Linked DNA regions of Pelodiscus sinensis. The protein of the gene in region 3 interacts with the protein of the main gene of each other region in a biochemical or structural test. Links are inferred from orthologs where the notes say so. Each region holds a gene or a part of one and is shown on either strand. Other genes may lie near its edges.

What was found.
Region 1: the proteins of NTRK2 (region 3) and BDNF form a complex in vitro, tested with the Homo sapiens proteins (3 studies listed by BioGRID). The link is inferred for Pelodiscus sinensis from reciprocal best matches to the Homo sapiens genes NTRK2 and BDNF.
Region 2: the proteins of NTRK2 (region 3) and PTPN1 form a complex in vitro, tested with the Homo sapiens proteins (2 studies listed by BioGRID, with this or other methods). The link is inferred for Pelodiscus sinensis from reciprocal best matches to the Homo sapiens genes NTRK2 and PTPN1.

The regions. Positions count from the first base shown.
Region 1 is NC_134714.1:94,153,656-94,160,981, reverse strand, and holds the start of BDNF (neurotrophic factor BDNF precursor form), read left to right. Parts: upstream 1-4,267; 5' UTR 4,268-4,454; coding exon 4,455-4,505; intron 4,506-7,326. UniProt on the Homo sapiens protein: Important signaling molecule that activates signaling cascades downstream of NTRK2. During development, promotes the survival and differentiation of selected neuronal populations of the peripheral and central nervous systems.
Region 2 is NC_134728.1:18,986,617-18,994,649, reverse strand, and holds the start of PTPN1 (tyrosine-protein phosphatase non-receptor type 1), read left to right. Parts: upstream 1-4,919; 5' UTR 4,920-4,983; coding exon 4,984-5,142; intron 5,143-8,033. UniProt on the Homo sapiens protein: Tyrosine-protein phosphatase which acts as a regulator of endoplasmic reticulum unfolded protein response. Mediates dephosphorylation of EIF2AK3/PERK; inactivating the protein kinase activity of EIF2AK3/PERK.
Region 3 is NC_134716.1:40,936,635-40,943,813, forward strand, and holds the start of NTRK2 (BDNF/NT-3 growth factors receptor), read left to right. Parts: upstream 1-4,060; 5' UTR 4,061-4,345; intron 4,346-4,740; 5' UTR 4,741-4,958; intron 4,959-5,033; exon of another isoform or gene 5,034-5,306; 5' UTR 5,307-5,539; coding exon 5,540-5,751; intron 5,752-7,179. UniProt on the Homo sapiens protein: Receptor tyrosine kinase involved in the development and the maturation of the central and the peripheral nervous systems through regulation of neuron survival, proliferation, migration, differentiation, and synapse formation and plasticity.

The DNA.
Region 1 (7,326 bases), on a different chromosome or scaffold from region 3:
TGCAGGAGGCGGCTGGTGGGACTGGGCGGCTGGGAGAGGATGTGACTTTCCGGAGGGACCCGAGCAGGCTTTGTGTGGACAACAAGGTACGAGGCGCCTCTTGGCCCCAACTAACTCGCTCTTCTCCGCCAGCGCGGCCGGCCGGCCGGGAAAGTTGAGTGTCAGGGCTGGGCACTGGCGGGGGGCCGCCAGAGCAACTTCTGTCCGCGCTTCCCCTGAGCCAGTCCTCGGGGGCAGGCGCAGCTGGGGAGCGGGGGAGATCCAGGGCAGGAGAGGAGGGGATCCCGTGCAGAGCGGAGCGCATGGCTAGCGGGGAAGGGTGGGCAGGCAGGGAGCCGGGAGCGGGGGGGGGGGGGGGGGGGGGGGAGCGCGGTTAGGGGCTCTGCAGCTGGGGGGAAAGGAGGCGGGCGGGGAGGGTTGGGAGCTGGGCTGCGCGGCAGCGGGGGGGACCCGAAGCCGGAACCAGACCTAATTAGGGGGTCCTGGGGTTCCCCGCTCAGCAGCCCCGCCGCTGCCTTTGTTCCCCGCCGGATCCGCGGGCGCGCAGGCACCTGTCTGCCTGCTGCGCGCTGGGCAGGTCCCAGGCAGCACCGGGCAGTGCTCCGCTCCTCTCCAGCCCCCGCGGGGCGCGGGACTGCTGCTGGAATCCGCTCCGGGCAGCCGGGGCACCCCGGCGGCGGCTGGGAGCTGGGGCGGGCGGGGACGCGCCAGGCGGACCCGATAAGCGAGCCGGGCTTCCCCGGCTGCCAGAGCCTGGCGGGCGGGCTGCACAGAGCCCCGCGCGCCGTAATGGAGCCGGGAGTTGCGCAGGAGGCTGGCGGGGGGCGGGATTGCCCCGCGCTACGGGCGGGGAGCGCGGCCGCCTGCCCCCGGGCGGCAGGGAGCGCGGCGCGGCGGAGGGAGGCTGCCGCCCCTGGGCGCACGCCCCCCGCGCGGGGTGCCCATGGTGGGAGCCGGGAGAGGTTTGGTGGGAAAGGCGGCCCTCTGCCGGCCGGTGCTGGCGCAGCCGCGAGGAGCTGTGACCAGCCAGCTCAGTCCCCGGCTGCAGGCTGGTGGGTCTTCCACGGATCTTAGGAGCCACTTGAGCCCGCTTTGTCCGCTAAGCGCCATCGGGAGGGAGAGACGCTCCCGCAGGGAAGGCGGGATGGGTAGCTGCGTCTGGCAAGCCGTAGCGAGCGGGGCAGAGCGGGGCACAGCTGGCATCACTTCCAACGTGTGTGTGTTGTCTTAAGTGAGCTTGCTGTGGGGTTTTTCCCCCAGTCGGTAACCGCACTGCCCGGCGAACAGAGAGGAAGACGCGCACTTGCACAGGAGTGAAGGCCAAGTGGATTTCTAGGTGTTAGAGTAATCTCCCCAGTACTGGATCTCTTTCTGCCATGGTAGTTTGCTGGCTACACTGCTGTAACTCAAGCTGCTAAACAGCTTTCCAGTACAGCACCCTGAAGGAAAGCTGTAACATAGCGCAGTGAATACCAACATTGTACATCTTTTGTTTGCTAAAAGTTGATACTTTACATGCTCACATTCAAGACTGGTTTTTGTTTTCTATAGTCGTAAAAGTAACGCGTGGGCTTTCATTGTTTTGTGCGACATTAGATTTTCTCCAGATTTAAAGTTACTTGGATATGACATGGACAGCTTCAAGCTATGATAGCTTGAAGGAATTAAGCGGTGTAGTTTTGGCAAGGGGCACACACAAGTGTATGTATAACATATTGCCTGAAATGGTAAATGGAATGTTTGAGTATAAGGAGAAGAAACTCATTGACTGCCGCTCACAATAATGTATCTATACTATCAACTGAGGTACAGTTAGTGAATGGAAAGATTCACTTGTTGAAATGTAACCTTTCCTGGAATTTAAAACATGCTGGTTACCATAACTGGAATTCCAATGTCATAAAGTCTTTGTCCTGTTCATCAACTTTGTGTTAAACTGAAGAAAGAATATGAAAATGTCCAGTAAACAATTAAACTGATTATGCTCTGGGTGCATTCAATGAAGAAGGGAACTCTTTAAGGGGCAAAAGTTTCTATCTTTAAGTAAATTAGATAATAGCTATGTGTTCTTTCTTTTAAGAATTAGGAAGATGGTAAAAATTGATGTTTTTTTTTTCTGTCCTTGTTTCATGGCTGCATTGAAAATATTTCTCTTTCCTTTGAAAAGGAATTAGTGTTAAGTGGTAAGCTGTGTTGAATGGCCAAAAAACTAAATTAATGATTTGGATACCTTGCTACTGACTTTTTTTAAAAAAATACTCTTGTAATATTATAATGTAATATAATTATGGACATAATTTTTAATTCCAGAGATACTATTAGTGTCTTCACTTGAACAGTAAAGTTTTTTTACAATGTACATATTTACTTTCACTTTATTATAGGTTGCTGTTTTGAAGTTATTGCCATTGTGAGATCAATATTCATTACTTATTTATGCTTCTAGTAACTGAGTTTTAATGTATGCAGGGAATCTATCCTGGTGATATTTTCTCTTCAGCAAGTATTTATGTATCTGTCATTTGTGGTTTGATAAAAATACATATACATGAAAAATCTATGCTATTTCATATACATCTACACATAGAGGGGACAGGCTGTGAACCCCCTACTTATACATGTGAACACTTAGTCATTCAACAAGTCCCACTGATTTTTGGGTTGGTAGTTGTTCACCAACATGAATAAGAAGTTTGTAATTTATTTGAATGTGTTTAATCAGTTACCTCACAATAAAAGGTCATATTATTGATTTAGGGTCAATTTCTCATCCCTTAATCACAATGAATAGTAATTTAGTCCTTGAATTGCACAAAATTCAATAGATCTATCTGCTGAGTAAGATACTAATTAATGCAAGTAAGGGTATCAAAATTGGCCCTGTAGCATTTGAATTACTATGGGTCCAATGGTGGCCTGGTTTGTGAAGCTATGCAGTGATGTAAGCAGGAATAACGCTTTCTGCATCCATTTACTAGCTGTCTGAACCATGGGTAGACAGATGTGCAGGAAGAGGAAGTCTTCACAGAGGCATTATATCTCCTCCCACTGGGCATGTGTGGTGCTTTAGCTGTGCAGATGGACCATATGCAGGGTACCTGTCACTCAGACTATGAGGGGACCTGCAAGAGAGATTGAGACTCTTCTGGTACACTCCTGGGGTGGCGCAACAGTATGTTGTCCCTTATTCTGGGCTCAGGACAAAACCCCAACTTTGCCTCCTCCAATATAAAATCATTTGAAAAGTGCTGCTAGTCACTGTTAGTTAACACATCCAGGAAGACTCTTTCTACTATGCTCCATAAATTAACCAATTCTCTGCTGTCATACTATTACTTAAAGTTCAACTTCACCAAACCACAGCTGGGAAAACCCAAATATAAATATAATGCTTTCTGTTCAGACCCACCACATCCTAGCACTGCAGAGAGGATCCCATGGTTTTAACGCTGTAAAGTCAGGTTAAAGTAGGCCCTCAGGCTCAACATTTTAATTCTTATCTGAATAATCCTGCTGAAATGGAGGACTGGGTGTAGAGGTGTGAAGGAGAGGGCAAGAAGTGTATATTATACGTGTAAGGGGTTGAGAAGGCTAAACTGAAAAGGCTGGCTCTCATCAATATGCTTTCAAACATAAAACACATTAGTTTATATGTTGCCACAGAAGACTGAAGGACCCAGCTGAAAACACAGTACAGAGATACATTTTTTTAAATTCATTTTTCTAATGTTCAGTCAAGACACACGTAGGAAAATAAACATCCAATAAATCTTTTTTATAGTTGCACGCATAATGAAGATCCAGCACTGAAAGTAGTCTGCAGTTTTAACTTATTATCCTGACAGTAATTTCTCACTATAAACAATAGGACATAATAGCTGAAGAAGTAGAAGTTGTTGCATTATTGCTCAGTGAATAGATCCTCAAAGGTGCACATAGAAAAGCAGAAGTTAAGGAGAAGTTATGGGTAGAAGAATTTCAAACTTTGGGTATGTTAGCCTGAGAATGGAGATCAGTGAGCTTTCACACTTTTCTATACTCAGTACACCACTGCTTTAAGAATAAAAGGCCCTCAAATTTTACTTTAAGCGTTTGCCTTATAGATATATATGTATGTCTGAAGTGCAGTTTTAAGCATGTGTTGTGTGCCTACATTGAAAATCTCATATTGGCACTGCGTGGGGTAGTAGAGGCTCTGATGTAAGCAGATATATCCTTTTAGTAGAGTAATTACTAACTTGTCTTGACTTGTTTTCAAATTATTGTTATGAGCACTCAGTTCCTCCTAATTGCAGAATTGCTGCTTAATTGAAAGACTCTCAATCATCTCTTACAGCAGTTCATATGCTGGCATGCTTGGTTATATCAAACAGTGAACTGTATTTTAAATAGTTGTTTTTAAAGACAGCTAAAGTTGAGTACTGGCTCAGTAATTTAAAAAAAATACTTCTGAAATGAGACGTGGTGGAATAAATTACAGACTCTACTTCCAAAAAAGGAAAAATGTGAGTAATATCTCCATTGAGGCATCTTATTGCAGTGAACAAACAGTACAGATGTGCTTTTAAACAAGCGGATTGGTGTACAGCTGGATCTGAGACTGACAGCTGGTAAATTGTGACTACTGTGAATCATGCTGAGCACTATTAACTCATTGTTGCCTTATGTTTTCCTGTCTGACTATCCATCTGCTGTCTTTTGTCTGGTACCTGGATTGTAAACTCTTTGGGGGGAGTGGCTTTGTACCATGTTTGCACAGCACCTATCACAATGGAGACTCCAGGATGCTGTCACAGTAATAATGTAGATTAACTACCCTGTGTGTGCATTTAACAGCTTGCTCTTATACTAACTTGTGTATTAAATGATGTTGCCAGATTAAATCCTGGTGCCACCTGGAGGCAGACTAAATACTAATAGACACCATATAAGACGGAAGAAAATTCTTTAAATTTTGGACTAGACGGGTGTGTTAATAGGACAGCTCTTTTGTTGGAATACCACTTACAATTATTTAAGCTAGACATATATTGCTATAATTTTAGGTGCTGATCCTTCAGACATGGATATTGGTAACTGTATTCAAATGTGAAGTCTCACCAACATCTCTGAATATTCACATGAGTAAATTTGTGCAAAAGTGTCTTTGCTGGTTTAGGGTCTTAATTTTTCACTTTCTTCACAATACTGGGACAGATCCTCAGCAGGTGTAAAGTAGCTGCATTAACTTCAGCTGAGCCAGACTGACTAGCTGAGTTCTGTTAACATATTGAAGATATGATGACATTAACCACATATTTGCTAATCGTGCTAGATCAGCTTTGTTAAAGGAGGTGCTCAAAATGAAATTAGGATACTTTTAATCATGATAAGTATTAATTCCAATTCTTAATAAATCACTCAAATATGTGAAGTGAAAAGGAAGGGAGTAGTTTATATTTTCTAATACAAACAAAGGATTTGCTGGGACAATACTGACTAGCTATGATTATAGTCCCTTAGTTACCCTGACTTGTCCCAAACATCCCATTACAGCATAATCTCTAGACATCGCTAATTGATTCAGCTGTCTGAAGTTGAGTTCCATTGGACCACTAGGAAAAGTAAAATAAGACTTTACGTAAATACTTACATTTTCATGAGTCCATGACAGCTGTCATCATGCTGTAGCAGTTGTAGATTTACTTCATTTAGAATGTAGTCTCTTTGCATGAAGTAATTCTCTTTTCAACTAGTTAATTAAAACTCTCATTATTTACCATGGCAGTGTGTACAGAATTGAAAGCATGTAAATCCTCTAAAATGCTTGAAATGTAATGGCTCTTTGTTCCATAAATGTGCCTTAATTTGGGGGCAATTAAATCTATTTGCCTTTTTCTATACACTTTGACAGCAAAATGCCAAAATCCTATTAACTTAATTTCCGACTGTATTATAAATTTACAGAGAAGTAGGTACGATGTTTTAATTTCAGAGGAGAATAATTGTAAAAGGTATCTGAAGGAGTTAAGAGGAATACTTATTACTAAATTCTAGATAAATATTTGTAGATCTGAATAGCTCAAAATCTGAACTACTACCGCCACCTAGAGATAAGTCCCACACATTTGCCAGGTATGCCAACAGCTTCTTTTGTGTGCAACTCTTGAAGATTGAATTTAGTGATGAGACTATTATCTTAACTGCTTCTGAGTAGACAGAATCTAGGTTTAGCTGTGCATAATGTCTTGTTTTTTAAATATTTATGCACTAAAATTGTGTCTACTTATCTGCCTCATCAGAAAAGTCATAATCTTCACATGGTCCAGTTTGTGTGGAGTAAACAAATAAACAAAGAAGGATCACTTTCAGTAAATCAAATGCCTGCTTTATATTATTGCTGGGGAAATATTTGCCAGTTAAATTTCTCTGGGTTTATTGCAGGTGTCATTGAGACTTGATGCATGTCCAAAGTGTACACCAAATAGATGAGTAGAAAATCCCTTCAAATATTTTATTTTAGTATACATGAAAACCTATTTTAAATCATTTTACTGAGCATGAAAGTAAGGGTGTTTTGATAGGAATTTTAAGAATTTTTTGAGGCTATGAAGTCCACTCTGCATTGAAGTACAGTAAATTGAAAACCTCCGCCATTGATCGGACTGTGTTCAGAATTTCAGCCACTATCTTTCAATACAGTTTTGAAATTGAACTGAGGAAAGGCTGTGCAGATGTGTGTTTATTTCCTCCAAATATTGGACAGTGAAGAGTGGATGCTTCCATTCTATGTGCGACTGCCTCAGAGAATGCCCTCCTTTATTCTGGGTTCCACAACTTCCCCTCTTAAATATCTCTTATATCCTTCTGTCTGGTGAAAATTATAGTACTTGCCTTCCATTTGGGAATATGCCCTTCCTTGGTGCAGCCATCAGGAGTTGCTCATACAGAACACTCGTGTGTCTCTGCATTCCTGACTCCCAGAACTCTTCGTCGTTTTTTTGATTATTTCTCCCTGACCTCACATAAGAGACCAGTGACTTAAAAGTAGACGTAAGCCACCAAGCTTGAGTAGATGTCTAGGAGATTGAGGTCCCCAGCTCCCACAGAATTGCAATGGAAGTTGAGACTTTAACTCGTAAGCAAATTTAAGTTTCAGCCATTAGTCTATAATATTTACTTAGCACCTTGTCTTTTTCAATGCTGACTCTGGTTATTTCTAAGACTCTTCAGAACCTACAATTACAGTTGCACAGTGTATTATGGTGGATGACTAATCTACGTTCCTTAAATTTCTGTTGCCATTCAAGGAGTTGTTATGATTGAAGGCAATCCTTTATAGTCAAG
Region 2 (8,033 bases), on a different chromosome or scaffold from region 3:
TTATGTAAACTTAAGTCACAGATGTCTGTTCGGATTAGATTTGTTCCTGATTTTACAGGTGTTCAGAGATTCAACTCTTAGGGTCTGGCTCTTATTCATTGTAATGTGTGTGTGTGCCTCATCTGACAATGTAGCATTTTTGGAGAATGAGGGGAATAGAGACTAGACTGTGTTGGATCTTCACAGTAAATACTCAACACTGAACAGCCTAACTTACTATCAACAGTTAGTAAGAAAATAAGGACAAAGAATATCTGAGGCTCGAAGACCCAAAGGGCCTCTCAGAAGCTGCCAACAGAGTATCATCTTTGTTTAAAACAAGACTGTCTTTCTGTTAAATAAAACAGAGATGTTAATGTGGATTAATGGGGAAATTGTGTTTAGTTTGATAACATGAAGTATGCTGAATGTGAATGACAAACTTTCTGGTTGGGCATCCAGCCTGCTGGAACTGTTATGTATTATTATATGTAATTGTATTGTTAGAGTCACAATGCCACAGTGCAGGAACATCATGTATCTTATTTACAACATTTTAATGGGGATTTATTACTCTGGCTGTTTTTAAAACTAGGTCATCTTGAAATCTGAAATATTGTGACCACAGATGCAAATTTGTATCGAATGGCTGAAATGGAATAAGCCATTTTGTGGGTCTCCAACTGATGAAAATAAGACCATGTTCTTTGTGTTTTGATTGGTTAGTTTGCTGTTTTCCAGATACCTTTTTAATTGATATACCTCAGAAACAGATTCATTTAAAAATGCAAATTTTGCAGGTGCTTAGAGTTCAGACTACATGGGAGATGTAAAAGTAAATCAAGGACCCCCTAAGGACTGTTGTGCAGGCCAAAGATTAGGCAGAATGCTGTGTGCTCTGTCCTCACCACTTCCAAACACATATTTAGGGTGTCTGGTTTTAGCAGTTTATTTATTTAATTTTTCAGGGTTCATTTTTAGCTATTTTGAGGTTTATGTAGCTGTCTAAAAATCAGGAGTTTTGGGGACTTTCTTTTTGCATTTACTGAAATAAGTAATACAGTACACTGCAATGAGTAATCTCTTTGCAATGTTTCCCAGTGTTAAAAAGCACTAGGGAACCTTTAGTGCATACCAGCAGGGTCTTCATGGACCAATTAAATGAAACACATTAGTGCACTTTAGAAAGTGCAGCCCTATAGGCTGCATTACTGAACTGTGCACACAACCTACAAGAAACCATTTCTGGTGTTTTGCCAGGATTTATTGGATAAATGTTGATTTCACTGGTATTTAGGGTGTTTTGTTTGTTTTATTTTTTGTATCAGAATGTTTATCAGTGTTTATCAATTAAACCTAAAATCAGAAACCCTACACATATACCAGGAGGTATCCAAAGATTCCCCAGCTCAGGGAATACCTCTGACGCTAGCATAAAGTGCTTTAAGAGCCTTTTGCAATCCTCCAGCAACACAAAGGGGACTTAACAAGCCCTGTGGATCGGGCCAATTGCCTGTATACTGCAGCCTATGATTTTTAGACATTTCAAGAAACAATTTGGTGGTTGCAGGTAGAAGTTATCAACTTATTGATATGTACGTGATCATTTGTAACCACAGATACAGGCAGTCCCCGGGTTACATGACTTACATCGGATCCCTACTTACAAACGGGGTGAGGCAACCCCACACTAGCTGCTTCCCCCCAGCAGACCAGGGAGATGCGAAGCTAGTGCTCCCCCCAGCAGACCAGGGAGACGCGGAGTGGCTTTTCTCAGCAGACACCTCAGCTTGAGAATAAAGGACTGAGGAGTGAGGTGTGGGAGAATAAAACTGAGCGCTGGAGAAATGTTTGGCTAGAGTTTCCCCTACAATATGTACCAGTTCTGACTAACATACAAATTCAGCTTAAGAACAAACCTACAGTCCCTATCTTGTACGTAACCCGGGGATTGCCTGTACAGTGATTTCTGAAAACAGTTGTGGCAGTTGCTTGCAGAATATATGTACATGAAATTATAAAAATCTGTGCTCAGATTTTAAAACATTAGAAACACTATCACGTGTTTAAAGTATGTTATTTTTTAATCCATTTGCCATTGTTGTGTCTGTGCCACCTAAAAAGTGTCTAATTTATCCAATTTGCAAGTGCAATTGCATGTGGAAAGTACACACACTATTATGCATGTATTTGCCTATGCCATTAAATGACTAACCTTTTGAAAACCTAATGCCTGGACCTTAATTGCAAATGCATCTGGTTTCATGATTTTAGAATTGTGCATGCATTTTAATACCAAAACAGTACAGCAGTGCATGCAATTGCAATAACAGTACAATTAAGATGCACATTTCTGAAAAAAAATAGGACCAGATGGGCACTATTGCAATGATAAATTATCCCTCAGCCAAAGACATTATTAATTATATACATGTAAATGTTTGAGAATCTTTATAATCCAATTTAAAGCTGTAATTTAATGCTGAATCCCCAGAACTAAAAATTCCCAGTGATTTAAGCAAATCATTAATCAAACTGTAAATGTAACTGTGCATGTATAAACTTTCTTTCTCTTACTTATGTTTATTTTAAACCATTCAGGGTGAATGCTGCCTTCAGTCTATGGCAGAATTCCAGTTGTCCAGGACAGCATATGGCTCTTAGTGACCTGGGACAACTATTCTATGATAACAGTACCTCAGAGAATTGTGTTCTTCATGGATCCTTGACTAAACAGTCTGCACTGATTTTATCTATCAAGTTAGAGCAGGAGTCATGAATCCACAAGTCTGAATGCTAACTTTCCTTATGAAAAACTTTTATACTGTAGTAATTCAGTTATCTACAGTTATGGCATCCTGGGCTTGATCCTGTCCTAAGCAGGTCTGTGTTTAGAAGGGAAATTTCTATGTTGCAGTAACTGTTGCTGATGTCTAAATAGAATCAAAGCTGAGAATGATGTAAGGTGTGTGCTTTTAAAAGCTGCTGCCTTTCACTCCAGGGTTGGTTGCATTTTAATGGAACCTAGTCAATGGATATAATTTATGGAGCATATGACATCCTTCAAGATTAAAAATGGTAGTGAGCTGTAAACTATTGTAATTGGCTGAACTGCCAGTGCCTGACTAGGCTGACCTTCTAAGGGTCCTTTGGATTAAAAGCTGCCACCTGAAGATTGTCTCACAGGAAAAAGATTTGTGCATCACAAAATGGTGATGTTTATGTCCCAGTAATGTAGTATCAAAATGTCTGAGTCCAACATGTCTCAATGACATTTTGAGTGGATTCTATTTAGGGTTGGGACAGCAAACGTAATTCATTGGGGCTAGGAGTGTGTTAACCCCTTTGAAAACTAATTATGTACATGTAGTGACATATACTGTACATATAATAAATGGTACAGTTTACTTATGTGGGGAGTGGTGAAAGTAACAGTGTGAACTATATATGGGTATGTCTGCATTTGAACCCTCTTTCAAGAGAGGGATGCAAATGAAGACATTCAAAATTGCAAATGAAGCCGGGATTTAAATATCCCATGCTTCATTTGCATATTCAAATTATGACGCTGTTATGGCCTTATCTCGAAATAACTGGTAAACCTCATTTTATGAGGAATAAGGGTTATTTCAAGAGAAGGGTTTTATCTCGAAATAACCGCGTCTTAACAGCGTCTGTTATTTCGAAATAGTGCTATTTCAAAATAGCACCATAACATGAATATGCAAATAAAGCACGGGATATTTAAATCCCAGCTTCCTTTGCAATTTCAAATATCTTCATTTGCATCCCTCTCTCGAAAGAGGGTGCAAGTGTAGACATACCCTTTCTGATCTGGCAAATGGACATAGGGAACTGGAACGGAGTGGGGAAAACATAGCATTACACCACCCATCTGCCAGTCCCAGGTATAATTAGACATAACTAAGGTAAGAGTGTTACCAAATTTGTCTGTCTTTAGGCTGGAGAAAAAATACAGACTCTATCTTTCTGTCAGTCCTCATGACTCCCCTGTCTGTCCTCAGGCCTTGGAGGGTGGCACAGCTTCCCCCATATGCCTATCTTCGGGGAGGTCAGTGTTAGCCCTGGGGTGGGGAGATACAACTCCCCTGTCTGTCTGTCTGTCCCGGGGGAGGCACAGCTCTTCTGCCCCGATTGTCTGTTCTACTGGGGAGGGGGACAGGACCCGGCAGGGGAGAGGGAGACCAGCTTCTCTGTCTCTTTGTCAGGCCTCAGACGTGGACGGGGGCACTGCACTGCCTGCTTGTCCTTCTGGGGGGGAGTAAAGCTCCCCTGTCTGTCTGTCTGTCGGGGGGGCGGGGCACAGCTCGCCCGTCTGTCTGTCTGTCGGGGGGGCGGGGCACAGCTCGCCCGTCTGTCTGTCTGTCTGTCTGTCGGGGGGGGCGGGGCACAGCTCGCCCGTCTGTCTGTCTGTCTGTCGGGGGGGGCGGGGCACAGCTCGCCCGTCTGTCTGTCTGTCTGTCGGGGGGGGCGGGGCACAGCTCGCCCGTCTGTCTGTCTGTCTGTCTGGGGGGCGGGGCACAGCTCGCCCGTCTGTCTGTCTGTCTGTCGGGGGGGCGGGGCACAGCTCGCCCGTCTGTCTGTCTGTCTGTCGGGGGGGCGGGGCACAACTCGCCCGTCTGTCTGTCTGTCTGTCGGGGGGGCGGGGCACAGCTCGCCCGTCTGTCTGTCTGTCTGTCGGGGGGGCGGGGCACAGCTCGCCCGTCTGTCTGTCTGTCTGTCGGGGGGGCGGGGCACAGCTCGCCCGTCTGTCTGTCTGTCTGTCGGGGGGGCGGGGCACAGCTCGCCCGTCTGTCTGTCTGTCGGGGGGCGGGGCACAGCTCGCCCGTCTGTCTGTCACGCCACAGTGGAGGAAGGGGGGGGCACTTACGGCTTCTCTCCCCGGCTCTCCCAAGCTGCCCCTCCCCCGGCGGGGGCGGAGGCGGGCCCGGAAGCGGCGTGGCCGGCCGCGGCGTAGTTCCGGTGGCCGGGGCGGGGAGTGACATGCAGAGCAGGCAGCGGCGGCCCCGCGAGCAGCTGGAGCCGGAGGAGCAGGGCGCGAAGGCGGCGGCGGGGGGCCAGGCCCGGGGGGCCCCCGCCATGGAGATCGAGAAGGAGTTCCGCCAGCTCGACCAGGCCGCCAGCTGGGCTCTTATCTACCAGGTGAGGGGCCGGGCCGGCTGCACCAGCGCGGGGAGCTCTGTCCCCCTCCCTTTCCGGGGCCCTGCCTGGGGGGGGAGGCGGGAGCACTGCCCTCTCCGTATCCGGAGCTCTGGGGGGCTCTGCCCCCCCCTCCCCGCACTCCGCTCCCCCCTCTCCGTCCGGGTCCGTGGCTGGCGGTGAGGGGTTGTGTTCACTTCCGAGCCCCTGGCTCCGTCCCTTGGATGGGGAGCTGTGCCCTGCAGCTTATTTATTCCCCCCCCCCCCCCCCGCTGCCGTCCTGCTCACGGCCCTGTGAGGATCTCTGCCCCCTTCTCCCCATGTGCACCCTCCCCCTCTCCCAGGGTTTTGTGGAGGGGAAACGCTGCGCTCTGTCTGGTTTGGGGGCGAGCTCTGCTTCCCCCACCCGGTCCAGCTTGGGAGTTTCCCTCTCGTGTCATGAGCCTCGAGGGTGAGCCCTGCAATCTTCTTCCCCCATTTGTTCCGCCTCAAGTAGACAGTCCGATGTAGAGGCCCCTCTTCTTCCAGTAGATCCTTTCCAAAACTAGCCCTCACGTCTGATTCTTGGGTTTCTAGTTATACACCTTCCTCTTCTGTATTTTTCCCCACCCTTGCTCAATCTTCTGACTGGGCTGGAAGGAAACTTCCCTTCCCTCCCCTCAAAAAGGACACACCTTATTGCAAGGTTTTGGGGGAATAGCAAGCACTCAGGACAAAACCCTGAAGTGAGCATTTCACTTCCTATGTGTATCTCTATAATACAGCTCCCTGCACAGGGCCCTGGGGAGGGTGAAGTATGTATGTTCACCCATTGTACACAAAATAGAGAACTGATACCCCTTATAATATTCCACCCCCATCCCTGCATCTGAATAGGGAATAGTTTTTGACACATTTTTCCAACCATCCTTGTACAAGCCTGATTCAACATCCCCTTCTCCCCCCCCCCCCCATCTAAGAAGAGGCAATAAATTCCATTCTTGAGCCCTGAGGGGGTCTGAAATCATATACTCACACCCAGCTCACTTTCCCAGTGGATTGGTGTTGGGAAGGAGGTTCTATGTATGTGGTTTCTGAATCATTTTAATATATAAAGTTTGTAACATTTGTTGTGTGTACTTGTTTATAGTGTGCCTAGGGTAGAGATTATTTATCAGTAATGATGTTTATATAAAATAGATGTTTAAATTGTTTTGCTGTTGTACTTACCCGGAAGCATTTCATTTTCATAGTAGCAGAACTTTAGAAAAAAGATACATTTTTTTTTTTTTACTGGCCATGTGGTGGATTTTGAGTGTGCAGTCCCTAATTTACATTGCTTGTATTTTTAACAAGCTCCCTGGACAATATATCCCTAAAATAAACAGGATATGAGAGGATAAGGAACGCTAACAGCTGGGTTGATTAACTGAATCTTCTAATATGTTGATCAGGTAGCATTAATATAAAGTAACAAGTTTTTTGCTATTGCTGTCTCATTGCTTTACAAAGGCAAAGTTGTGTGGGACTGAGTTCTCTTCACAAACCTCTAATTTGTCCTTTTTAGCTGATGTTTTGTAAGATCTGTTGTAATGAGTGTTTTGACATCAATTAAGTTCAGATGCTACCAGATTGCTGTGATCTACAGAAAGGATCAATATCTAAAATTGGGCTCTCCTGCCCATTTTTTGTGAACTTATCTTGCCATGGAGTTTTACAGAAGAGGTATAATAGTTTTTTCTGTTCACAGTATGCTGTGAACAATCTAATGGAACATCTTGAGCTTCCTAAGGGAAGGTATTTGCTTTGCAAAATTAGAAATGAAGAGTTAAAAGACATCTAATTTAGGGTTCACTTCTGAAGATATTTTGCTTCCTGCAGTGTTCTAATAGTTGGTAACTTGATAGCAGTTGAAAGTCATGTGAATTTGTGAAACGAGGTTTTTTTCTTTCTAATCTGTTCTTGAAACATTTGATGTGTGTCAGACTCAGTGCTCAGGAAATAACTTTAACATCAGACCAAGTTTGTAATACGTTAGTCAAAGTTGTGAATTATGACATAAAGAAATTCAGTTGTGGCTGCTGCACCACTTTAACTCATGTCATCAAGTTGAAGTTCTTGCAGCATAATCTTATGCTCCCTATTGGGTAACAACCACAGTAATTGCAAGCAGTTGCTTAATTTGTGCTAGAGAAGCAATCTTGAAAATGATGCTTTGGATATTCATAGCTTTTTAACTAACTCTCCTTTAGTTACCAGTGTGTGCTGAATTTTAGTTGGCAGTGATCAAAAGAGAAAATCTGATTGCATCTTGAGTTGGTGTTGGCTGCATTCTTAACAGGGCCATGGCATTTAAGTACCAGGTCAGAATAGGGGCATGTTGGTTTGGCAGCATGAGGATGGTTGTATGACAAATGTCAGTTTATCCCTGTTTTGAAAGGTTGATAGAGGATTCACTCTCCCAGGTTGATAGGTTATGGCCTCACAGCTTTCTCCAGCAATGTGTATGGTTCACTGTCTTCTATAATTGAGAGCTTAGGTACACGTGATAGAGTGCTAGCTGTAGCACTCTGGTCATTGTCTCCAGTTGCATCTGGAGTCTTCTTTGTGCTGTAGCAACCTTAATCTATTTCCATGGAGATTACTGACACCTGTGTAGAAATTGGGCTAATGATGTAATTGGTTTAGTAAGGGGGTCATAATTGATGGGAACAGGGAGTAGAGGAAGCTCACATGGTGAGCTAGGTGGAATAGAGAAGTAGTATGAAAGGTTCTTCCTGGTTGTATATTTTTGCTACTCTTGCCTTGTTTTGAAAACAGGCAATTAAAGATGCATGTGATGGAAGAGTAACTGTGTGTTTGTGACTAAGGGACCTCAAAACTACCTTAGATAGCCATTGATGACACCTAACTTA
Region 3 (7,179 bases):
TTGTCTCTTGTCTTATACTAAGCCCACATCTCCAATTACTGGAGGATCGATGCTATGGCAATCGACTTCCAGGGTTCAATTTAGTGGGTCTAGTAAAGACATGCTAAATCAAATGCTAAGGGCATCTTCATTCACCGTATCAACCTCCTCCTGTGTGGAGCCACCTCAGAAAATCGACGTAAGATATGTCAACTCTAGCTATGCAATAGACATAGCTGGAATTGCATATCTTACACCATTTTTTTCTGCCAGTGTGGATTTGAGATTACATTTTTTGGGGGGGCAGAGACCATCTTTTCATCCTGTATTTGTATAACGCATAGTATAAGAGGGCCTAGTCCATGCTCTTAGGCACTATGGTAATACACAAATAATAAATAATTTCTCTCCCCCATATACATCGGGATTTTAAAAAAAAGGACTCATGAAAGTATTCTTATTATTTACACTGGTGTGAATTGGTAGAATTAGACATACATACAATTAATGTGAGAGAAGTATTAGGCACAACAAATGTCGTCTTTGCAGAAAATAAGAAATCAGGGACAGCTAAAAATTTATTTGGTCCTGTATAGGGATGTAAGTGACTAGTCAAATCACTACTCGACTACTTACTTCCTCCCACCCTTGCTGCCTCTGTATCAGAGGCAGCAAGTGGGGGGAGCAGGAGCCAGCACCAACTGCACAGTGCAGGGGGAATGGGCAGGAGAGGCAGAGGTGTAGTGGTCCGGGACCCTGTGGGAGCCAGGACTACTCAGTTCTGTCTCACGCCAGGCCAGGGACATACCCCTGCTGTGACTCTGCAGTTTAAATGTAGTAGGAGCCAGGATGCCTGTGTGCAGGGCTCCTACTACATTTAAACTGTAGAGCCTCAACAGGGCCCCTTATCAACAAATTGTGTAGTGGATACAAATTGTATCCACTACACGATTAAGTCAAATACCCGCTTCTTAACATTCTTAGTCCTGTAGTACCAAGATAATTGTCACTAAGCAGAGGAATCCTAGAAACGTAGGGCTTGGAGGGAGCTTGAGTCAGGGTGATAATTTTGCGAGGCCCAGGGCAGCGCCGCGGGGCTTGAGATGGCACAATTTCGTGCATGCGCTTCTGCAGCAGCCAACCGGAAGTAGCGTGCATGGGGCATGTGCACAGGGCCTATTGAAGCGCAGGACCCAGGGCAGCCGCCCCACTCGCCCTGCTCTATATCCACTGCTGGCTTGAGTCATCAAGTCCAGTCCCCTACGCTATGGCCAGACTAAAGAAAGATACACTAATCCTGACAAGTGATTGCCCCACTTGTTCTTAAAAACCTCAAATGATAGAAGCCCATTCCAGTGCTTAACTACCCTTATAGTTGGAGGTTATTGCTCCTAGCATCTAACCTCAATCTCCCTTGCTGCAGAATAAACTCATTACTTCTTATGCTACCTTGAGTGGACATGGGGAACAATGTATCATACTTCGCTTTCTAACAGCCTTTAACACACACACACACATATATATATAAGAAGACTATTACCAGTGCCCTCCACCCTCCACCATCTTCTTTTAGCAAGACTTACCATGCCCACTTGTTTTAACATTTCCTTCTAAGTCAGGTTTTCTAAATCTTAACATTTCTGTTGATCTCCTCTAGACTCTCTCCAGTTTGTCCACATCTTACTTAGATATGTGGCATCTAGAATTGGACGTGGTATTCCAGCTTCTGCCTCATCAGTGCTGAGTAGAGTGGGACAATTACCTTTCATGTTTTATATACAACATTCCTGTTAATACATGTCAGAATATTACCCTTTTTAAACTGCATCACATTGATGATGATACGCAATTTGTAACCTACTATAATTCCTGCATCCTTTTCTTTGTATGACCATCTTACCAATTATTCCCCATTTTGAATTTCTTCATTTGATTTTTCTTTCCTTAGTGAAGGATTTTGCAGTTGTATTTATTGAATTACATCTTACTGATTTCAGACCAATTCTCCCATGTCAAAGTCATTTGAACCCTCTTGTTTATGACCTCTCCCTGCTTGGTGTCATCTGAAAATGTTATAAGCATATTCCCCACTCCAGTATCCAAATTATTAATTAAAATATTGAATAGTGTTGTATTATCCCAGACCGATGTCTGAGACCCCCCATTGGATACATCCTCCCAATGTGACAGTGAATTACTGATAACTGCTTTTAAAGTATGGTCTGTCAACCAGCTATGTATCTACTATATAGTACTTTAATCTAGACCATAGTTCCCTAGTTTGCTTATGAGACTGTTGTGGGGCCCTTTGTCAAAATCCAAATCAAGATATATTGCATCTACATCTTCCCCTCTATCCATCCACTTGACCAGTAACTCTCTCAAATAATGAAATTAGATTGGTTTGAAGTTAGGATGACTGTTTCCCCTTTTAAAGATAATTACTGTAGCAGTCAAGATTTACTGGCATGGCTCCCTGACAGGTATCCTGCTTCTTTTATGATGCTGTTTGGCTGCATGCATTTTGCCATGACATAGGAAAGAAGGGGAATGTACTCTTGATAGTAGATTTATATCTGGATAACAATTTAATAACATTTACGCACATGCAAAATATATTTAATTTAACCCAAAGACATTGTTGGCAATATTTCCAAATACAGTAGAGTCCTTATCATCCAACCTAAATGGGACCGACCTGATGCGGCTCCTGCCGGGGCGCTTCTTCCCTGGCAGGAGCCGCATCAGCTGCTCCTAGAGAGCAACAGGACAGCTGATGCGCTCCTGCCTCGTTGTCTCTGGCAGGAGCTGCAGCAGCTGCTCAAAGAGAGTGACAGGGCAGCAAGCGGGGCCGTTCTCCCAGTCCGGACTGTATCCGACCCTGAAGCTTCTGGGGACAAAGCTGCAGGGTCAGATAAAGCGGAGTGTCAGATTACCAGGTGTCGGATAATCCGGATTCCACTGTATGCCTATGTTTCTTATCTTCAGTCATTCCATTAGAAGAGAGGTATAATATTACTAGGATGGCTGTGGCTATGCTTATAAGATAATAGGGATTTTGTCTGGAAGTGCCAAATCTTCGAGTGCCCAGTGAGAATTCAATGTTTTTTGAAGCCTGAGCAGACTTACACAAGAGTTGAGTGCTCATGCAATTAGTAAAAGTGCTATGTCAAGGTAACACCTGAGTGCTTTCAAAACATTGTGATCACCGCTTGATACACACTTCTAGAACATCACTTCAACCTATCTGCCTTTTTAATTCTACAGTGAAGTTCTGAACTAATTATATAAAAATCCTCAGTTGGTTAATATAAAATTAAGATGAGATAGAGCCTTCAACGCAAGCTTTGTAAAAGCTACCATTTCTAGACCAAACTGCTTGGAGGCCTACTTAGGAGAAATTTAATTAAAGGTGATGCAGTGAATGCACTGGTGTTTTCCACTGTTGTTCAATGGAGCTTGGTCAAAGGCGATCTGTGATGAAGAAGACAAGGCAACAAGATTAGTCATATTGAACCAGATATTTAAAGTAGGTGTGTGCTATTTCACTTAGTTTATATGTGCAAATCAGATAGTGGTGTGCACACCTGTTACATGCTTATTTACCTGTAGGAGATCTAATTTGTGTCCACACATCAATTTGCTCACGTAAATTAGAAAAGATCTAATTTACATCTAATTCCCATTTCCCTTTTGGCATTAGAGTAAAACACTAATACAACAGATAGCACAATTCTGAATTCCCTCTAAGACCATCACTATTACGGTGGATTTCCTTGAGTAGTGCAGCCCAGAAGAAGGAGGAAAGGATGTACACGGTAAGATGGGCAGTGTACTGCATACACTGCCTGCTGGCGCATTCTCTTTTGCTTGTGGTGGTGTTCAGGTTGTAAACACGCGGTGGCGCCAGAGCTCCCTGAAGTCTGAAGCACTGCGGTGGATTTTCCTGTTTCTTTCAAATTACTGCGGAAAAAAAAATCCTATAGAGCCACTAATGAAAAGGCAAATTCCCAGACAAGGCATTTTAATGTCGCTCATTCATCACATACCTGAGTTCTTAAAGCGATTGCATTTTATTATGCGAGCATGAAAGATCATATTCTTTTCAATAACCGTTTTTCTCTTCGCATATGTTTGTGTATTATATGCCCCAGCGGAGGCGTGCAAATCTATAAGGCGAATTAGCCTAATAGTGATCCCCGCCGAGGATTAAAGGGCTCGTGGCAAAAGCGGTGTATGTCTCCAGTCACTATTACGCAATGTAAGCGCACGGAAGGTCCGAGACACCGGGCCGGGATAACTGCATCCAAAAAAAGCAAGGGAAGAAACCAGCCAGCTGAGCAGTCGAGAAGGGGCATGTCACTAGGTATGTCAGTGAGCCGGGCACAGAAAGCCCGTACAGAGCGATCTATGCAGAAAGCCATGATGTTCATATTAGAACAAGCCACACGCAACCGGCTGCCTTAGGTTGTGGCGAAACGCGCTCCCTTTCCCATGCACATCACGTCTGTGTCTTTCTGGGGATGGGAAAGATGCGTGTCTGGGGTTGGAGAAGGAAGCTTTGGCTTCCTACACGGAGAAGACGGAGGGTCCAGAGGAGGGCCCATGCTGATGGTTCACCTCTCTCTTGTGCGTGTGTGATTGTTTGTATGTGTGTAGGCTCCTGGCTGCCTATTGGCATCTCCTTCTCGGCACCCTCCCTCCAGCCCTCCCTCGCCCCTGCTTGCTTTTGTCTTTTTTTTTTTTTTTTTTTAATTCCAGGCTCATTTTGTGGAGTTTCTGCCCCTCTCTGCGTCAGCCCCACGTCACTTTGCCAGCAGCTCCTCAGCTTGGGCTAGAGCAGGAGCCTGGGTTGCTTTATTATCAGCTGGAGACGGTGCTTAAAGGGCAGAGCCGGGAGCCCCGATCCCCCCGCAGCAGCAGCGCGCTGACTCCTCTGCCCCCGGCAGCAGCGGCCGGAGCAGGCAGCGCCCCCGCAGGTAGGAGCCTCCGCCCTCCGCCCCCTGCAGTGTCCAGCCCGGGGGCTGCGGGTGACCGGCTCCCCTGCCCTCCCCGCTCCGCCCGGCGCTTTGCAGCATCCTCGGGAGCCGAGGAGCTGCCGCGGCCCCGCCGCAGGCGCAGCTGCCAGGGCGGGAGGGGACGGTCCCTGCCCCGGGTGCCCGCCAGGGGCCCGCGCTCGGCTCCCGGGGCAGGTGCTAGTGCCCGCGGGGGCTCCCCGGCGGCTTCTCTCCCTGCCCCCCACCGAGGCTGTGGGGACCCCGGGCGGGCCGGGGGCCAGGCTGGGCCGGGACCGGCTCCGCTCTCACCCGCGTCTCTCTCTCCTCCAGCTCCGCCGCCTCCAGCGCTCGCCCCGAGCGGCCCCGGGGAGCCCGCGGGGAGCGGAGGCGTCGCTCCCGCCCGGCCCGGCGCGCCCATGTGAGCCCAGCCGGGGCCGGCACCGAGCCCGCCCGCAGCAGGATGCCCGAGTCGCAGCCGCTGTGAAGCGCCCAGGGGGCTCCGCGCACGGTCGCGGGAGGAGGCCGTCGGGGCAGCGGGCAGCGCTGGATTGATCGGGGCCAGCATGGTGTCCTGGCGGAGGAGGTGGCAGGGGCCCGGCCTGGCCCGGCTCTGGAGCGTCTGCTGCCTGGTGCTGGGCTCCTGGAGGGCTTTGCTCGCCTGCCCCGCGCCTTGCACATGCAGCGCCTCGCGGATCTGGTGCATCGAGCCCGCGCCGGGCATCGTGTCCTTCCCGGTCTTGGAGAGAAGCGCCGAGCGGGAGAACATCACCGACATGTGAGTAGAGCAGCGGCTGGGCACAAACGAGGAGATCCCTTTTATCGCTTTAATTTTATGTCATTTCCATTATGATACTGCATCCAGCTCGTGTATGGATATTCTCTCTTTCGGTGTATCCACAGCTAGTACATGTGTGTACCAGCTAATTTACATAACTAATCATTGTATTTTCTATGTGTGTACATCAATCTGCCTAGGAGAGAAAGCCAGAGAGAGAGTGTGTATGTATAAAGGGACAGAGAATCTCCACAGTATGTAGATACAAGAGAGAATCCTTTGCATTTTGTGTTGCTTGCCTCTAAGGCTTGCAGAAATGATGCTCACATTTTCCTTGCAGCATCTCTTTTGCAAGCCTCAACAGTAGCCAGTATTTTTTTTTAATTTCGCTCTGCGAAGAACACCAAATAGGAAAGGAGGTTTTGCTTAAGGAAAGATTGTGAACGATCTGTAATAGGAGAAGTTCTCTGCATTGAAAGGCACTTGCTCGGTAGGAAAATGTGATCGTTGGAAGCCTAAAAGCCTGGTATGATTTAATTTAGACTTGACTTCCCAAAGATATAATTTTGAAGCCATTTAGATTATACATCTTAATTGCCCTTGGTACAGTTTCCTGGGAATAAGTTAGATAATAAAGGAGTATAGCGCACAGATTGGTGCTGATTTTGGTAGAAGGCCAATGTGTTAGCAGAAAATTCTTCTCTGTCAGATTTTTCTTGGGAGAGGTATCAATGTAGCTGCCACTTTATCTTTCTCTTTTACAGATTTTTTTTTTACAGATCTGTAAACAATTGCTACACTACACATATCCCACATCTCTTCTAGAGAATAAATTAATAGGGACCTCTTTATTCTCTCATGTTCACCTCTACCTGTTCGTCCTATTCATTATTCATGAACAAGAACATTTTGATGGGTCACTCTTTCCCCAATCAAAAATTTGACCATTTTGTTTTCTTCACTTTTTTGAAATGGAAATAGTGCATTCTGATAGAGTAAAAGGAGGACTGGGTAATATGCATGTAAGCTCCTTGTGCACGTGCTCCTTTTCTGTAAGGTAGCTAAAAAGGATGCAATGCTGTGTCTGCTTGTGAATGCAGAGCGACACTCATTTCCCCCTAGTTGTAAGCAAGTATTGTACCATGATAATACCCTTATTTTTTATGGGGCTTTGACAAGTAGGTACCAGAGGGTTTTCAACTTCAGCCATTGTGAGCCACTACAGTTGAGACCAGTGTAGAGGATTGTGCTCCTGCTTGGGGCCTGATTCTGTATTCTCTGCTTAGGTGGGCCATCTTCCAATTCAGGGGTGGGGAACATCAAGTCTGGGGGCCAACTGCAGCCCCTGCCTTGCCTGGCTCTGACCCCTGAGCTCAGGACCCACTCAAGTATTGGGGAGCCCATGTTAATGCTCCAGCCTTCCTGCTG